2 linked regions of the Neurospora crassa OR74A genome follow. The protein of the gene in region 1 purifies or fractionates together with the protein of each later gene. This does not show direct contact. Links are inferred from orthologs where the notes say so. Each region holds a gene or a part of one and is shown in the gene's direction. Other genes may lie near its edges. The genes, in order: arp-3 and NCU03050.

Region 1 (6,523 bases):
TGCCCTCTTCATGGCGGCTGGGCTTCCAGTACTGGCGCGTGACTGAAAAGCACCTGACACGTAATTCATGGCAGCTCGATCGACTGGCTTGCTTCCGTTGGTGAGACTTCTCTGAGGTGGGCGAGGTATGGCTGAAGGGACACTTCCAAGTGATCCATTTTCACCCAGTAAAGGGGACCCTCTACCATATGGTGAGTCGGGTTGGCCTTCGTTCCATATCCCAGTCAAAATCGCACTCGAGTGGTCCCGTCGCAAAGTCGACGCGTTTAGCGTTTCCGCCGCTTTTTCGTAGTCACTCGGTGTCGGCGACGGGCGATGTGTCTCTAGGTTTCTCAGAGACACTTGTGAGATGTGAGAGGAGTTACTACTTTGAGTAATCTGTCTTGCTTCCGCCTTTTTCAAGTCCTCTTTCCAGCGGAGAAAACGATCCTTTGCGTTCTTGGAAATGAGGTATTCGTTTGGTACGGTAGCCATCCCGTGTTCTTCGGCAAAGTCCCTAGCTCCGAGGCCCACGAGAATATTCGGCGGTACTCTTCGGAGGGAAAGAGGCTGACTACTTTTGTCCAGAATTAACTTGGCAAGCGAGATGGGGTTTTTGATGCCTGCATATGTCAACGAGTGTCAGCATGTCGTTTCTGGCCGCTCATATGTGGCACTGTCGGTTTGGGCGTACCCGAAACAGCGCCACAAGCACCACTCCTCCCCAGATGGTCGACTACAGTTGCGTCACATTCGACAACTCCATCCATGTTGAGATTACTTCCGAAGCCGGCATTCGTAATCTCTTTGTCCTCCAAACACCTGATAGCAGCTTCGACAGCCTCGGGGGCAGAAGCACCGGCTTTCAGAAACCTCATGGCGACACGGGAGGCTCTAGTTACAACCGCATCAGCAAGGGATCACCTGATGACTCTTGACTCAACTTACTCGCTGCATGCTTCCAAGTGAACCTTTTCATTCGTAATGCTATGGTACCCTGCACCTGCGTGGACAAAGATTGCCGCAACTGGCTTCGTCGTACGCTTCCATATCCTTTCGACACCACCGTCCAATCCGTATTCATGATCACCAGACCAGTTTGACTCTGAGGAGCTGTCCGACATGTCCATATCTGATTCAGGTGACCCATGGCCGGGCTCGGCATTTTTGCTGCTCATCGTGGGCGCAGCTGTGATAGAACGACTCGAGGAGATAGTCGAAGCAGCGTGTGATCTGGCGAGGTCGAGTTGTCTGGTAATCGAGCATGTGTCTTTCAAGCGAGTCTGTATTCTGAGGGCACATAGAGTCCTTAGTTTTGGTGTGTCATGGGTGACTTTTGTGCCTTGGGACAAAGATGGGCGAAAAGACTTATCGAGGCAAGGGCGAAGAGTTGGAGAAGATCGGAACGGGTGGATGAGATGAAAAGGGTGGTCGGACTTGGTGTCCCTCGTAAAAGCAACCTGCTAAAACAATGAATGGGAATAATGCTCGGTAGTGATAATGTCTTGAGGGGTATTTGAGATTGGAGCGATGCCCAATGAGCTAGATGATGCACTCAGGGTGGCCCGAGGGGTGAAGAGTCCCTTTGGATACAGTAGGTGGGCGGGATGAAGATGTGTGAAGGCAAAGGTGGCAAAATACAGAATACGACAGAGAGAGAGAGACGGAGAGAGAGACGAAACGGAATGTGGACACTGGACAGGTTGATGATTCGTTGTGATAAGTGAGAAGCTGTGAGTGTGTGTAGCTTCTCCGCAAAGTGGACTTGCTTCGAGAGGATGAAGCTGAAATGAATCCGACAGAAATGGCAGGTGTGAGGGAATCTGGCTGGAGGTGATTTTCCATTCAGTATCTCCTTCCTTCTTAGAAGGACACATCCTGTCTGGCTGGCCTTGTCGCTACAGTTTTGATACCGATCGGCCCCACTTTTTCCTAGCCATCATCGTCCGGGCCCGGGCCGTGTGCTTCAAACTCCGATGCTTGGGACCGGGGCATCGGTTAGGTTTCGGGGGGCTCGGATGGCGCGCAGGTGGCAGCGAGGTGTTTGGTTCCGTCATCTCCAGTTATGGCGTAGGTCCCGTCGCTGGAAATGCACAACTGACTAAATGGACCGCCGTACCATACGGGGACCTCGCGGTCTTGGCGCACAGCCGCACAGGTACCTCCACAGTACCACGCAGCGCTGTCAGCCAGACGAGTAAGGAGAGCTAGCTCGGCCAGGCACGTACAATCTTGGACATCAACCTCCATTTCCCGCCTGGCCTATCCACTACCCATCCACGCTCCCGCCCCGTCACTTCATCCATCACCAACTAACAACAGCCGTTGCTTTACCAAACCGCAATCATCACGAGCTGCGCGTAGCAGCACACCACCGCAACAATGGCCAACACAACCCCCGCCGTTGTCATGGACAAGTACGTGCATCCAAGTGTCCCGTCTCCACCCCGCCCGCTCCTTAACAGCTCCGGGGCCGTCATCGCTAACATCCCCTAACCAGCGGCACGGGGTTCTCCAAGCTAGGTTCGCGACTCCGACACCCCAAGATATCCAATGACCACCGATTGACCAAGCTCTTCGTCGTCTGCAGGTTTCGCCGGCAATGATTCCCCCTCGTTCGTATTCCCGACGGCCATCGCGACCAAAAGCCCCTCGGCAGGCACCGGCGGCTCGGGCTCTGGCCGCCCCGCCGTAGCCAACAAGCCATCCTTCCTCACCGGCGGCGCGGGTCCAGGTGGCCATCTCTCAGCAAAGCGCGGAACCGAAGACCTCGACTACTTTATCGGCGACGAGGCCGTAGCGGCCGCCAATGGACCTGGTACGTTGGTCTACACCGCCTCAACGGAAATGGGTGCTGACGGTGTTAGGCTACGGGTTGCACTATCCCATCAGACACGGACAGATCGAGAACTGGGTGCGTTCAGGCTGCTAGATGGCATGTCACAAATGCCTAGAGCTAACTGGAGCTTAGGATCACATGGAAAGGTTCTGGTCCAACTCCATCTTCAAGTATCTGAGAGTAGAGCCTGAGGACCACCACTTCCTCCTCACTGAGCCCGTAAGACTACACTTTCCAAGCCACATCAGTACTACGTCTGCAGCACTGACACGTCGATTCAGCCTCTCAACCCTCCCGAGAACCGCGAAAACACCGCCGAGATCTTCTTCGAATCCTTCAACTGCGCCGGTCTCTACATTGCCGTCCAGGCCGTTCTGGCCCTTGCGGCTTCCTGGACATCATCCAAGGTCCAGGACAGATCCTTGACCGGTACTGTCATTGATTCGGGTGATGGTGTGACACACGTTATCCCGGTCGCCGAAGGTTACGTTATCGGCTCGTCCATCAAGTCGATCCCTATTGCCGGTCGCGATATCACCTACTTTGTCCAGTCGCTTCTCCGTGACCGCGGCGAGCCCGATTCGTCCCTCAAGACGGCCCAGGAGATCAAGGAGGAGTACTGCTACGTCTGTCCGGATATTGTCAAGGAGTTTGCCAAGTACGACCGCGATCGCAGCCGATTCCTGAAGCACACCATTACCCAGCCCGGTGGCCGCCAAGTTACGGTTGATGTTGGCTACGAGCGTTTCATGGCGCCCGAAATCTTCTTCAACCCCGAGATTTACTCGTCCGATTTCCTTACGCCCCTGCCCGTGGTTGTTGATGGTGTCATTCAGTCTTCGCCCATCGATGTCCGTCGTGGTCTCTACAAGAACATTGTTCTTTCGGGTGGCAGCACGCTCTACAAGGACTTTGGTCGCAGGCTACAGCGCGATATCAAGCAGCTTGTCGATACGCGAATCAAGGCCAGCGAGGTGCGCAGCGGTGGAGCAAAGAGCGGTGGTCTTGATGTCCAGGTTATCACCCACAAAAGGCAACGGCACGGCCCGTGGTTTGGTGGTAGCTTGCTCGGTCAGACGCCCGAGTTCCGGTCGTACTGCCACACCAAGGCAGAGGTATGTTTCTTTACCCTTTTACCATTGGCAGTCTGGTTGCTGACGGATCTTTACAGTACCAAGAATATGGACCCAGCATCGTGCGCAGGTTCGCTCTGCTCGGAGGACCTGGTGGATCTTAAGCGTAGTTATTTGTGTACAGGAGCGAGTCCGCATCTTATTTGGCAGGCAGCGGGCGCCGATGCTTATATAATGGCGATGAATAGAAAAGAGGAACTACTTAATGCTAGTGAAGTTGGGTCAGCGTAGACGGCCAATGTGTCTGTTGTTGTGTTGATGTTTAGGAATCCGTTGCGCAGAGCAACGGTCCCCTTAAAAGGGGGGCTTAATGGTACCGATCGGCTGGTTCCGGAGGCGGCGTGCCAAGCCATTGACGGCATTCACTGTAACTCTCGGTAAGCAAGGATGTGTCAGCACCACGACCACCGGTTCGCGCCGGGTGGCCTGATATGGCCCGACAGTTCTGGAACTGGCCGAACTCCCATCGGGCAAGCTAACCGATAGCTTCGCATCAGTTTCACAACTTGCTGATTTTTCTCTTCATTTTTTCAATGTTGTTCCTATTCTCAGCCCATTGATTAGATTCTAATCAGGACTGGGCTCGATTGTCATGTTGAAAGATGTTGCCTGACATGCTCGGACGTCACCTCACAGTAAACCGACCGTGTTCCCAGAGAGCATTCACAGTTTGGAGGGTTCAGTGATCAGATTGCTTACTTTGCGCCGGGCAAGGAGCAAAAGGTTATGCAACTTTCTGCATGCCTTCATAGAGGTCGGTACCATAGGTATGGGTAGGTAGGGTAGGTAGTACGACAAGAATGCGGGGAAGAAGCTTCGTCGCTGAAACCAGGGGTTCCAGACCGTCCTTTGGTGGCTTACAAGCCAAGCCTCCTCGTCACCTGCACCGGCTAAGTTTGCTGTTTTGAGGCTTCTTCGCTCGAGCGGAAGTTGACTTTTATTTTTTCCTTTTGTTTTCCTTCGTGTTTGCTGGAAACGATAATTGATCCATACTATTTCCATCAGCCTCCGTTTCAGCTTTACCACCAACCCAACCAGCGTTGACAAAGGCGCGGGGAAAGGGTGAGCCACGACGTCCACGAGATCTTCGACGAGGAGGTGGAGGAGGAGGAGAAGGAGGAGGAGTGGTTGGCACAGGTTTCAATGTGTAGCGTATGTAGTGGTGGGTTCGAGACAGTGGCTTCCACTTCGGTGGAGCGGAAAGTCGTTTATGTATAGGTACGCAGTACACTACACCACACTAGAAAGTGTGGGGGTGGAACATGACGGCGGGGTCTCGGATCGGACCCGCGCGCTGTCAACGACTTTAGTTAGTTTAGGCAAACACCGTATCCAAGACTGTACTCGGATCCAAGGTGCCGACCACCGGGTGTTTGGTTCTGCGACAAACAGTGAGGTTGATGAGAAAGTTCCCACAAAAATAAGCAGGGACGGTGAGATTTCGGCCGCTCCATAATGACTGGCAAAAGCGTCTCATAAACCACGAGATGGGACCAGAACCTCAGGTGCTTCACGGCATTGTTGACATGATGAGCGGGAAAAGGGCCGTTTCCATGTGGCGCCTCACGAGAACAACCTAACGATGGTCCGGGCGACACTAGCCGGGCTCCGCTGAGGCTGGATAGGGCGGGCTGTCCCCCAACGGGCACCCCCGCTGTCATCACTCGACTCAGCGCTCCCGCCAGTTCCACACTCACTGAAGCTAACATAGGTCTCATCCCAGCCTCCATCTCTTCAGTTACATCACTCGTGCCCAAGTTGGGACGATCGCGCTCGACATGCGCCAAGAGCCCACGATTTCCCCCAGTCCTCCTTTTAGCTTTCTCCTCTTTTGCACATCAACACCGGGGGACCTTCACTATGCTAATAGCTTAGTGCATGATCAGCTTCATCTAACAAGAGCTCGTGACCTTGTTTGCTTCCAACTGTTGGCGTCCGAGTGCCAGCTCCCCCGCATTTTGTATGTACAGTTGACAGAAGCGGAGATCTCCCCTCTTGGCTTCTCAATTTCTCTCTAAACCTTCGGAAACCTTGAACCGGCCGATGCAGCAACTCCATTGAAGCTTCCCTTGGATCAATCAAGCTGCTGACGGGGACTGGATGGGGGGGCTTGAGAGGGGTATCCACCGGGCTGATGGAAAAGGGCAGACAATGGGCGATTGGCCAGTGGGAGCTCCCCGTACCGTCACATCCTCTACGTCCCGCCTCGCCCATCGACATCATACGTTTTCTCTCGTCCATCTACACACACCAAGACTCTAACCCTCCAGTTGAGGGTCTCGGCCCCTGCCTCGCCAGACGTCCGACTTGTCTTCCCACCGAGCCACCACTAGCCTCGCCGGGTCTGTAGAGACGTGCAGATCTCGGCCTCCCTTCCTCCTGTGGTCATCATGCCTTTGCAGTCTCGTGTTTTCTTTGGTTCGCTGTCCACCATGACGCCTGCCTGCCTTGCTTGGGTCATCCATTCCCTCCCCCTCTTTGCCAACGGTTGCCGATCGGTCGGACCTGTTGCTATCCCCTGACCGGGGAAGGGCGATGGGGGACGGAAAGAGTATAAGAGGTCATGGCTGCC
Region 2 (7,020 bases), on another chromosome or scaffold:
AAGTTTCGAGCTGGAAGTACTAATATTTCTACTACGGGGTAGGATAAAATTGCTGCTATCCTTCCTATTTATATCCTTAAATAGAAGAATATAATTGGAAACATTGCCTTAGATATTGCTAATGCTATAGCCGGTAAAGGTTTCTACCTAAATGGTTATTATAAGCTATTCCTTTAATAATTTAAAGCGGCTAATAAGAGTAATAACTTAAGTAAGGGCCTAATATTTATAATATTTATTAGTAGTATTACGGGAGTTTTAAGTATAAATAAGAAAAAGTTTTCGTGTAATATAAAAAAGGAATAGGAAAAATATTATAATAAATAGCCAAATATAGCTCGCTTCTTATATTATTCGGCTATTGAAATACGGGTTATTAATTATAACGGAAATATATTTTTACTTAGGGTTAAGCTTATTAAGAACGACGATTTTTCGGAAATTTTACTTTATACTAGTAAGTTTATTTTAATATAATTAAAAATATACAAAGTTTCTTACCTATTCTATACCGCTATTATTATTAATAACCTTTATAGTCCGAAATTTAAAGCTATTGTAACCCTTTAAGTTACTACTACTTTTACTCCTACTAAATATAAATATAATTACCCCCCTAAGGTTAAAAGAGAATTGGAGTAGTAGCTTCTATATATATTCCTAGTTCCTTCTACTATTATTCTACTTATTCCTATATACGGATAATTACTAGAGAATATATTAGACTATAGTATATTAATTAAAGAATAAATATATATTTTTAGTATTAAAGCTATTTAAGGTAGTAATGTTGAATCCGACGACGGTGGATATAGAAATTAAAAGAGACGTTATATTAAAATTAGAGAAAACGAATATAAATAGTATTTTTATAACGCTAATAATTATAAATAACCTTTTTATAATATTAATAACGATAGCGAAATTCTATTAGGCGGTAATATTATAGTAAGTAGAAATAACCTTCTTAGTTATATTGCTCCGCTGGGTAGTAATATTCCTAGTTCCTCAAACTTTATCCCCGACTATATTACTCCGCCGGAGGTTTTTGCTTTGAGTTTTAATTTTACTATATTTATGGAGGTACCGGTAATTACTTAGTCCCCTAATAAGTTAGAAGAGATTTCTAAGCCTCCTCCCCCTAATATTACTATATTTACAATTATTTAGTCCTCCAACGAATTAGAAGAGATCCTAGAACCTCCTAACTTCTATAAGTATAAAGGAGAGTATAAAATAGTTAATTAAATTACTAATTATAAATACAATTTTATTAAATTCGAAGGCGAAATTTAAGTTTCCGATTTAATATAAATAGAGTTTGTAGAGCGCTATTATTGTAGGGTTGATGTAAATAATCTTAATGGCTTCTACGAACTATGGATTCTAAATCGATATTCTATTAATACTTCTTTAGATTTAATGAAGAATATTAAAGAGGCTAGAAATTAAATTCTAAAAGATAGTTGTGGTTAGTATAGAATACCCTCGCCTAAATTCGAATTCCCGACCGAATACCTTAATAAATTTCACCTCTCTAAGGAAGAATAATTCCGGAGGATATTCGTCGCTAATAGTTAGCATTAGCAAAACCTACAATTATATATATATTAGGCTATAGTACCCCTCGATCTTCTTTAAGTTATTTTTTTTCTTTCATTTTTATAATATTATCCCGGGTTATTATTTACAATTAATTTTATACGTTGTTTTTATTTAAAGCCGGAGCTAGAGTTTCTTATTTTCTTTTCGCTATACTCTCCTATTGTTATATTTATATTAAGGAATATATATTTTATACTATTATATTGAAATAGTTATAAAGGAGGCGTACTTAGAGTAGGCGAATATTATTAACTACCTATATAGTACCTATACTCCAATTTTCTTATATATATAAGTTAGAGTTTTGGCTTATAATTATTAAAAAAGGATAGAAATGATAGGAACTATAAAGAACCTCCGCTAGGTAGCCCAAATAGGTAATTTAATATAGCGCTTTCTCCCTTACTACTTACCTCTATTAATATAAATATAATATTACTTAAAAATTATTGTAAAATAATTGTAAGACTTTTAGTAATTAGAATATATACTAATTATTAAATAGATAAATATAATTAAATAATTATTATATTAATAAGAATATTAGCCTGCAACTAGTAATTCAAGCGAGTATATATGTTATATTGCACATTTTGTGGCTTAGGTCGCATTATTGTAGTACAATTTGCTGTTGTTATACTTTTGTACGCTGTTGAACGGTCAACTCCGTTTCGTACCCAATACTACGTTAATAGTCGCTGTACTATTAATTAAAACTATACATTGCAAAATAAAACCAATTTTAATATAATAATATTCAACTATTTAGTAGATTACAGTAAGAAACAATACTGTATAAGGATGTTGCAGCCCACAACCCCTGCTCAAGCGTTTTATACTACAAAGGCCTGCTACGCCCACTTTTGTCAGACCCCCCATTCCCTCCAGGGCCTTGTTGGCCCATTCCACCTGCAGCTGCTGAGGTGCCGCTGGAGGTGCTGCTTGCTCTGTACACTAACACTGCCCGCCCGTGCTGAGGGAGGTGACCGCTCTACATACCTCTAAGATTGTAGCTACCTACCTATCACGGCCCCACCCCCGACACTTGAACACACTACGCAACTGACCCGACCCGGCTTCAACAACTCGACGGCGCCGGATATATACGAGGAATCACAGTCAACATGCTCCTGCTCGACTACCAGAACGTCCTGATTCAGGCGGTGCTCACCGAGCGTTTCGCTCCTGGGTATGTTTACCACGTCTCCAGCCCGAACGCGCAGTGCGCCTGTCCGCCCCTGAACTTGCACTGACGACGCTGCCGCCGCCGTCACCGCGCATTCCAGAGCTTCCCCCGTCAACATCGACCAGACTGTCTCCGACTTTGACGGCGTCGTCTTCCACATCTCCACCCCCGAATCCAAGACCAAGATTCTCGTCTCTCTCCAAATTCGATGCTTCCAGGATCTCGTTCGCTACGGCGCTGAGCAGGTCCTCAACCGCGAATATGCCGATCTCGTTGTCCCTCCCGAGGCCGGCTATGACTTTTCCATCCAGGTCGACCTCGAGAACCTCCCCGCCGAACAGGAGGCCCGCGATGCCCTTGTCATGAAGATTGCCTTGTTGAAGCGCAATGCCATGGCCGCGCCCTTCGAGCAGGCCTACCAGGAACACTACGCCCTAAAGGAGGAAGCGTCCAAGTTTACATCCGAGGAGGCGCCACAGGGTGTCCGTGAGGGTGGAGAGGTCAAGGCTATTCACTACCGAGAAGAGGAGGCTATCTACGTCAAGGCCAGCCACGATCGTGTGACCGTCATATTCAGTACCATTTTTAGGGAAGAAACGGACAGAGTATTCGGCAAGGTCTTCATCCAGGAATTCGTCGATGCCCGGCGCAGAGCCATCCAGAACGCCCCCCAGGTCCTGTTCCGCAACGACCCTCCTCTCGAGCTTCAGAATGTTCCGGGGGTGAAGAATACTGGTACAGGCGAGATTGGTTATGTCACTTTTGGTATGCCACATCGTGAAACAAGCTATATCTGGGATTGACTAACGGTAGCAGTCCTGTTCCCTCGCCATCTCACTCCTCAGCGGATGCCCGATGTTATCTCCCATATCCAGACCTTCCGCGACTACTTCCACTATCACATCAAGGCCTCCAAGGTAGGTGCATTGGGAAACATGCTACGCAGAGATCTCCATCTGACATTCCATCCCAGGCGTATATCCACTCGCGTATGCGCAAACGCACCGCCGACTTCCTCCAGGTTCTCCGGAGAGCCAGGCCCGATACCGAAGAAAAGGAGAAGAAGACAGCAAGCGGAAGGACATTCAAGGCTGGCGCTTAAGGAGTTCGTGCAGCGGTTTGTGTATCACGTTACTCTGCCTTTACTTGAAACCCGTCATGTTAGTCTATCGGCAAAGGCGGCCGAAGATGACCACTTACAGCTACCACCAAAGACAGACAATATTAATCACTACCCTAATCATTCCACTCGATTTACATAGTGAACGTTGATCTTGCGGCTTTCCGATATACCTGGCACACCGGAGTTCATTCTAGCCCAAGATACGTGAAGATTGCTTTTGGCTAACTAGTTTCAGCTAGAAATTTCCTATAACCGCCACCGCCCTCAATGCGACCATGGCTTCGACTTATACTTTGGGTTCTCCTCCGGCTTGCCCTCCCACGGAAACTCGATTTCCTCCGGATTCAAATACCAACTCGGATCGCCCTCTGTCTGCGTCAAACTCCATCCATTCCCCAACCACCTCAGCCCATTCCCACTTTTGTCAGCACCCTCATACATCCAGTCCTCCCACCTCGGGCTCCTCAGCGTCTCAACAGCATGCTGCGTCGACCCGGGCCACAGCGCCACGATCCTGTTTCCCGTCCCACCCTCCGACCGATACCAACTCTTGCACTTATCCAGGTACACCGTATCCTTAAAGTAGGCATCCACAAAGGCCACAAAGTCCCGCACTCGTTCCGGCTTGGGCTCCATGGACGCGTAATCCTCCTTTTGTAATTTGCGGATTACCGAGACGATGTAGTCTACCTGCGCCTCCAGGATCCGATTCAGGCTGCCGAACCCGATGGTCGTATTTGGGCCGAACAGCATCAGATAGTTGGGGAATCCGTCGACGGCTAGACCGAGGTAGCTATCGGGGTGTTGGGACCAGCGGGAGGCGAGGGTAAGTCCGCGCCGGCCGATGATGGGGAAGGGTGGGGAGGTGCAGGCTTGGAAGCCGGTGGCAAAGACAATTACGTCGGCGTCGATTATCTGTTTCTTTCCTTCCACAGTGGCGAGCGCGATGCCGGAGGAGGTAATGTGTGAGATGGGGTCGTGAATTGCTGTCACGTTGGGTTGTTGGAGGGCTTCAAGGTAGCCCCTTCCTGGAGTGAGGCGCCGGCAGCCAGGGGCGAAGGCCGGGATGATCTTGGCTAGCAGGTCGGGACGAGCCGACAGCTTGGATTCCATGTCCGCTTTGAAGAAAGCTTGTCCCTCGATGGTCATCGGGTGGCCTGCCATGGTGGAGTTGTGGAGGGAGGTGCCAAAGTCTTCAAAAGCTTTGCGGAATTTGAGGAGGGCGGGGCGTCGGAGCGGAAGAGGGCTTTTTGTTCTTCGGTGACTGGGTATAGGTTGTTAGGCTCTTTTGTTCACGGAGAGGTCCGTGATCTACACAAGATGAAAACTTACACTCGGTTACTTTGGGATCCAGTCCTAGGTCTTTCATGGTGTTATCACCAAAAGCTGACGATATCCAGGTCGGTGATCGTATGAAACATGAGAGCGTCGTTCCTTCGAGTTTCTGGAGCTTGGGAACGATCTGGATGGCACTGGAACCGTTACCCACAACAGCGATCTTCTTGTTGCGGAGGTCATAACTGTAGGTCAGTTAGCACGACACCTTTTCAGGACTGCCTCTGAAAGGCCAGTCAGACAACCTCTTACCTCTTATCCCACGCCCCCGAATGCATCTTCTTCCCCTTAAACTGGTCAATTCCCAGAATATCCGGCCATCGCGGCTCGCTAAGCTGACCTCGAGCCGTAATCAGCACGTTCGCCGAATCGGTAAACACCTCTCCGGTAACCAGATTCATGACTTTGAATTGCCTTTCCGTTCACGTTCTATTAGCCTGTCTGTTCTATTTGACGTGTGTGAAACTGGTCTGAACTTATAACGAACCATTTCTTCTGCCCATCGTCCCAGACACATTCCTCCACTTTATGTGATAACTTGATGAACCTCGTCGCTCCGAATTTCTCAGCCACGTCCTGCAGATATTTCTGGATCTCGTGGCCTGGCGCATAGAGGTTGGACCAGTTCGGGTTGGGCGCAAAGGAGAATTGGTATGAATGAGAGGGGATGTCGCAGGCGACGCCTTTTGTTCGTTTTAGCTGTCGGTTAGTTGATCTGCTTTGGTTTCCTACTCCTGTTTGGGGACCACGACCAGGTCGTACATACCTGGATATGTGTTCACCCACCTTTTTGTTTCTTGCAGTATCAGTGTCTTTGCTTGGTGAATGACTGGCGGTCCAAATGAGTTCATGAGGAAAAGCGTGGACTTACCATGTCCCTCCGACGCCTTCGTATTTCTCATAGACCACTAGCTCGACATTTCGTAGCTTCTCTGGTATTCTTCACAGCACACCCATGTTTGTCAGTATTGAACCGGTGGTACAACTATTTCATCAGCCTAAAGCGGGAGGTAGGGAAGCAACTCACCTAATCGCTGCCCCGATACCACTATACCCAGCGCCAATGACAACTACCCTCAACGGTCTAAGATTTTCCACTACCGTGTCTTTAAGTGTAAACTTTTTCTTGAGGTCACTTCCGTCCATGTGCCCGTTCGTAGTTGTAGCCATCTCCACTGATATCTCTTGACGTATACTTGTTGCGACGTATTTGTTTTGTCAAAGGGTGTAGGTATTAGATCGTCAACCTCATAGTCGAAGACAGACCAGCAGCCAAGGTATTTGCCTCCAAACCTCTCTCTTTCTCTGTATATATACATTTCATCAAACATACCATGAGCCGAAACTTACCACTTCCTACCCCTCACAATCAAATACCCCTGGTCGGACTCAGGACGGTTCGGTAACGGCTTTGCTCAACCGAACCGCACGGCGGCCGCAGGCCTTCGATCTGCGTCATGGACTAGTGCTTTGTGCAAGGGTCTTGGTCTGGGTTTCATTACATCCGCGCCATCTGAGTGGTTGTAGTTGTGAATCCGAGAACGTAGTATATATATAAAACTGCTTTAGTTGCCTAAACCCCAGTGCTCCTTAGTCCCTTACTGACTATCCACAGGAGTGCGGGAGAGGAGGTGGGAGTTAGGTATAGAAAGATCATGAGACTAGTAGTATTATGGAATGTGGGACATCTGCAGGTGCTGATCTATATACGTGTACGGCATTAAGGGGTCATAAGAGGAGTGATTACATGGATTTTGGATAGTGTAAGCGG

The links.
Region 2: the proteins of arp-3 (region 1) and NCU03050 purify together in Saccharomyces cerevisiae (affinity purification with western blotting; 6 studies listed by BioGRID, with this or other methods). This does not show direct contact. The link is inferred for Neurospora crassa OR74A from reciprocal best matches to the Saccharomyces cerevisiae genes ARP3 and ARC35.

The regions. Positions count from the first base shown.
Region 1 is NC_026502.1:2,533,858-2,540,380, forward strand, and holds arp-3 (actin), read left to right. Parts: upstream 1-2,169; 5' UTR 2,170-2,361; coding exon 2,362-2,396; intron 2,397-2,479; coding exon 2,480-2,502; intron 2,503-2,569; coding exon 2,570-2,797; intron 2,798-2,846; coding exon 2,847-2,893; intron 2,894-2,950; coding exon 2,951-3,037; intron 3,038-3,099; coding exon 3,100-3,933; intron 3,934-3,989; coding exon 3,990-4,055; 3' UTR 4,056-4,217; downstream 4,218-6,523. Other genes in the region: NCU01757 (asparaginase), read right to left, coding at 1-602, 674-873, 928-1,157. UniProt on the Saccharomyces cerevisiae protein: Functions as ATP-binding component of the Arp2/3 complex which is involved in regulation of actin polymerization and together with an activating nucleation-promoting factor (NPF) mediates the formation of branched actin networks.
Region 2 is NC_026501.1:8,290,673-8,297,692, forward strand, and holds NCU03050 (ARP2/3 complex 34 kDa subunit), read left to right. Parts: upstream 1-2,487; 5' UTR 2,488-2,729; coding exon 2,730-2,794; intron 2,795-2,891; coding exon 2,892-3,556; intron 3,557-3,607; coding exon 3,608-3,708; intron 3,709-3,764; coding exon 3,765-3,893; 3' UTR 3,894-3,896; exon of another isoform or gene 3,897-4,027; intron 4,028-4,112; exon of another isoform or gene 4,113-4,149; 3' UTR 4,150-4,178; downstream 4,179-7,020. Other genes in the region: NCU03049 (flavin-binding monooxygenase), read right to left, coding at 4,179-5,071, 5,247-5,434, 5,502-5,663, 5,737-5,932, 6,016-6,035, 6,121-6,189, 6,277-6,419.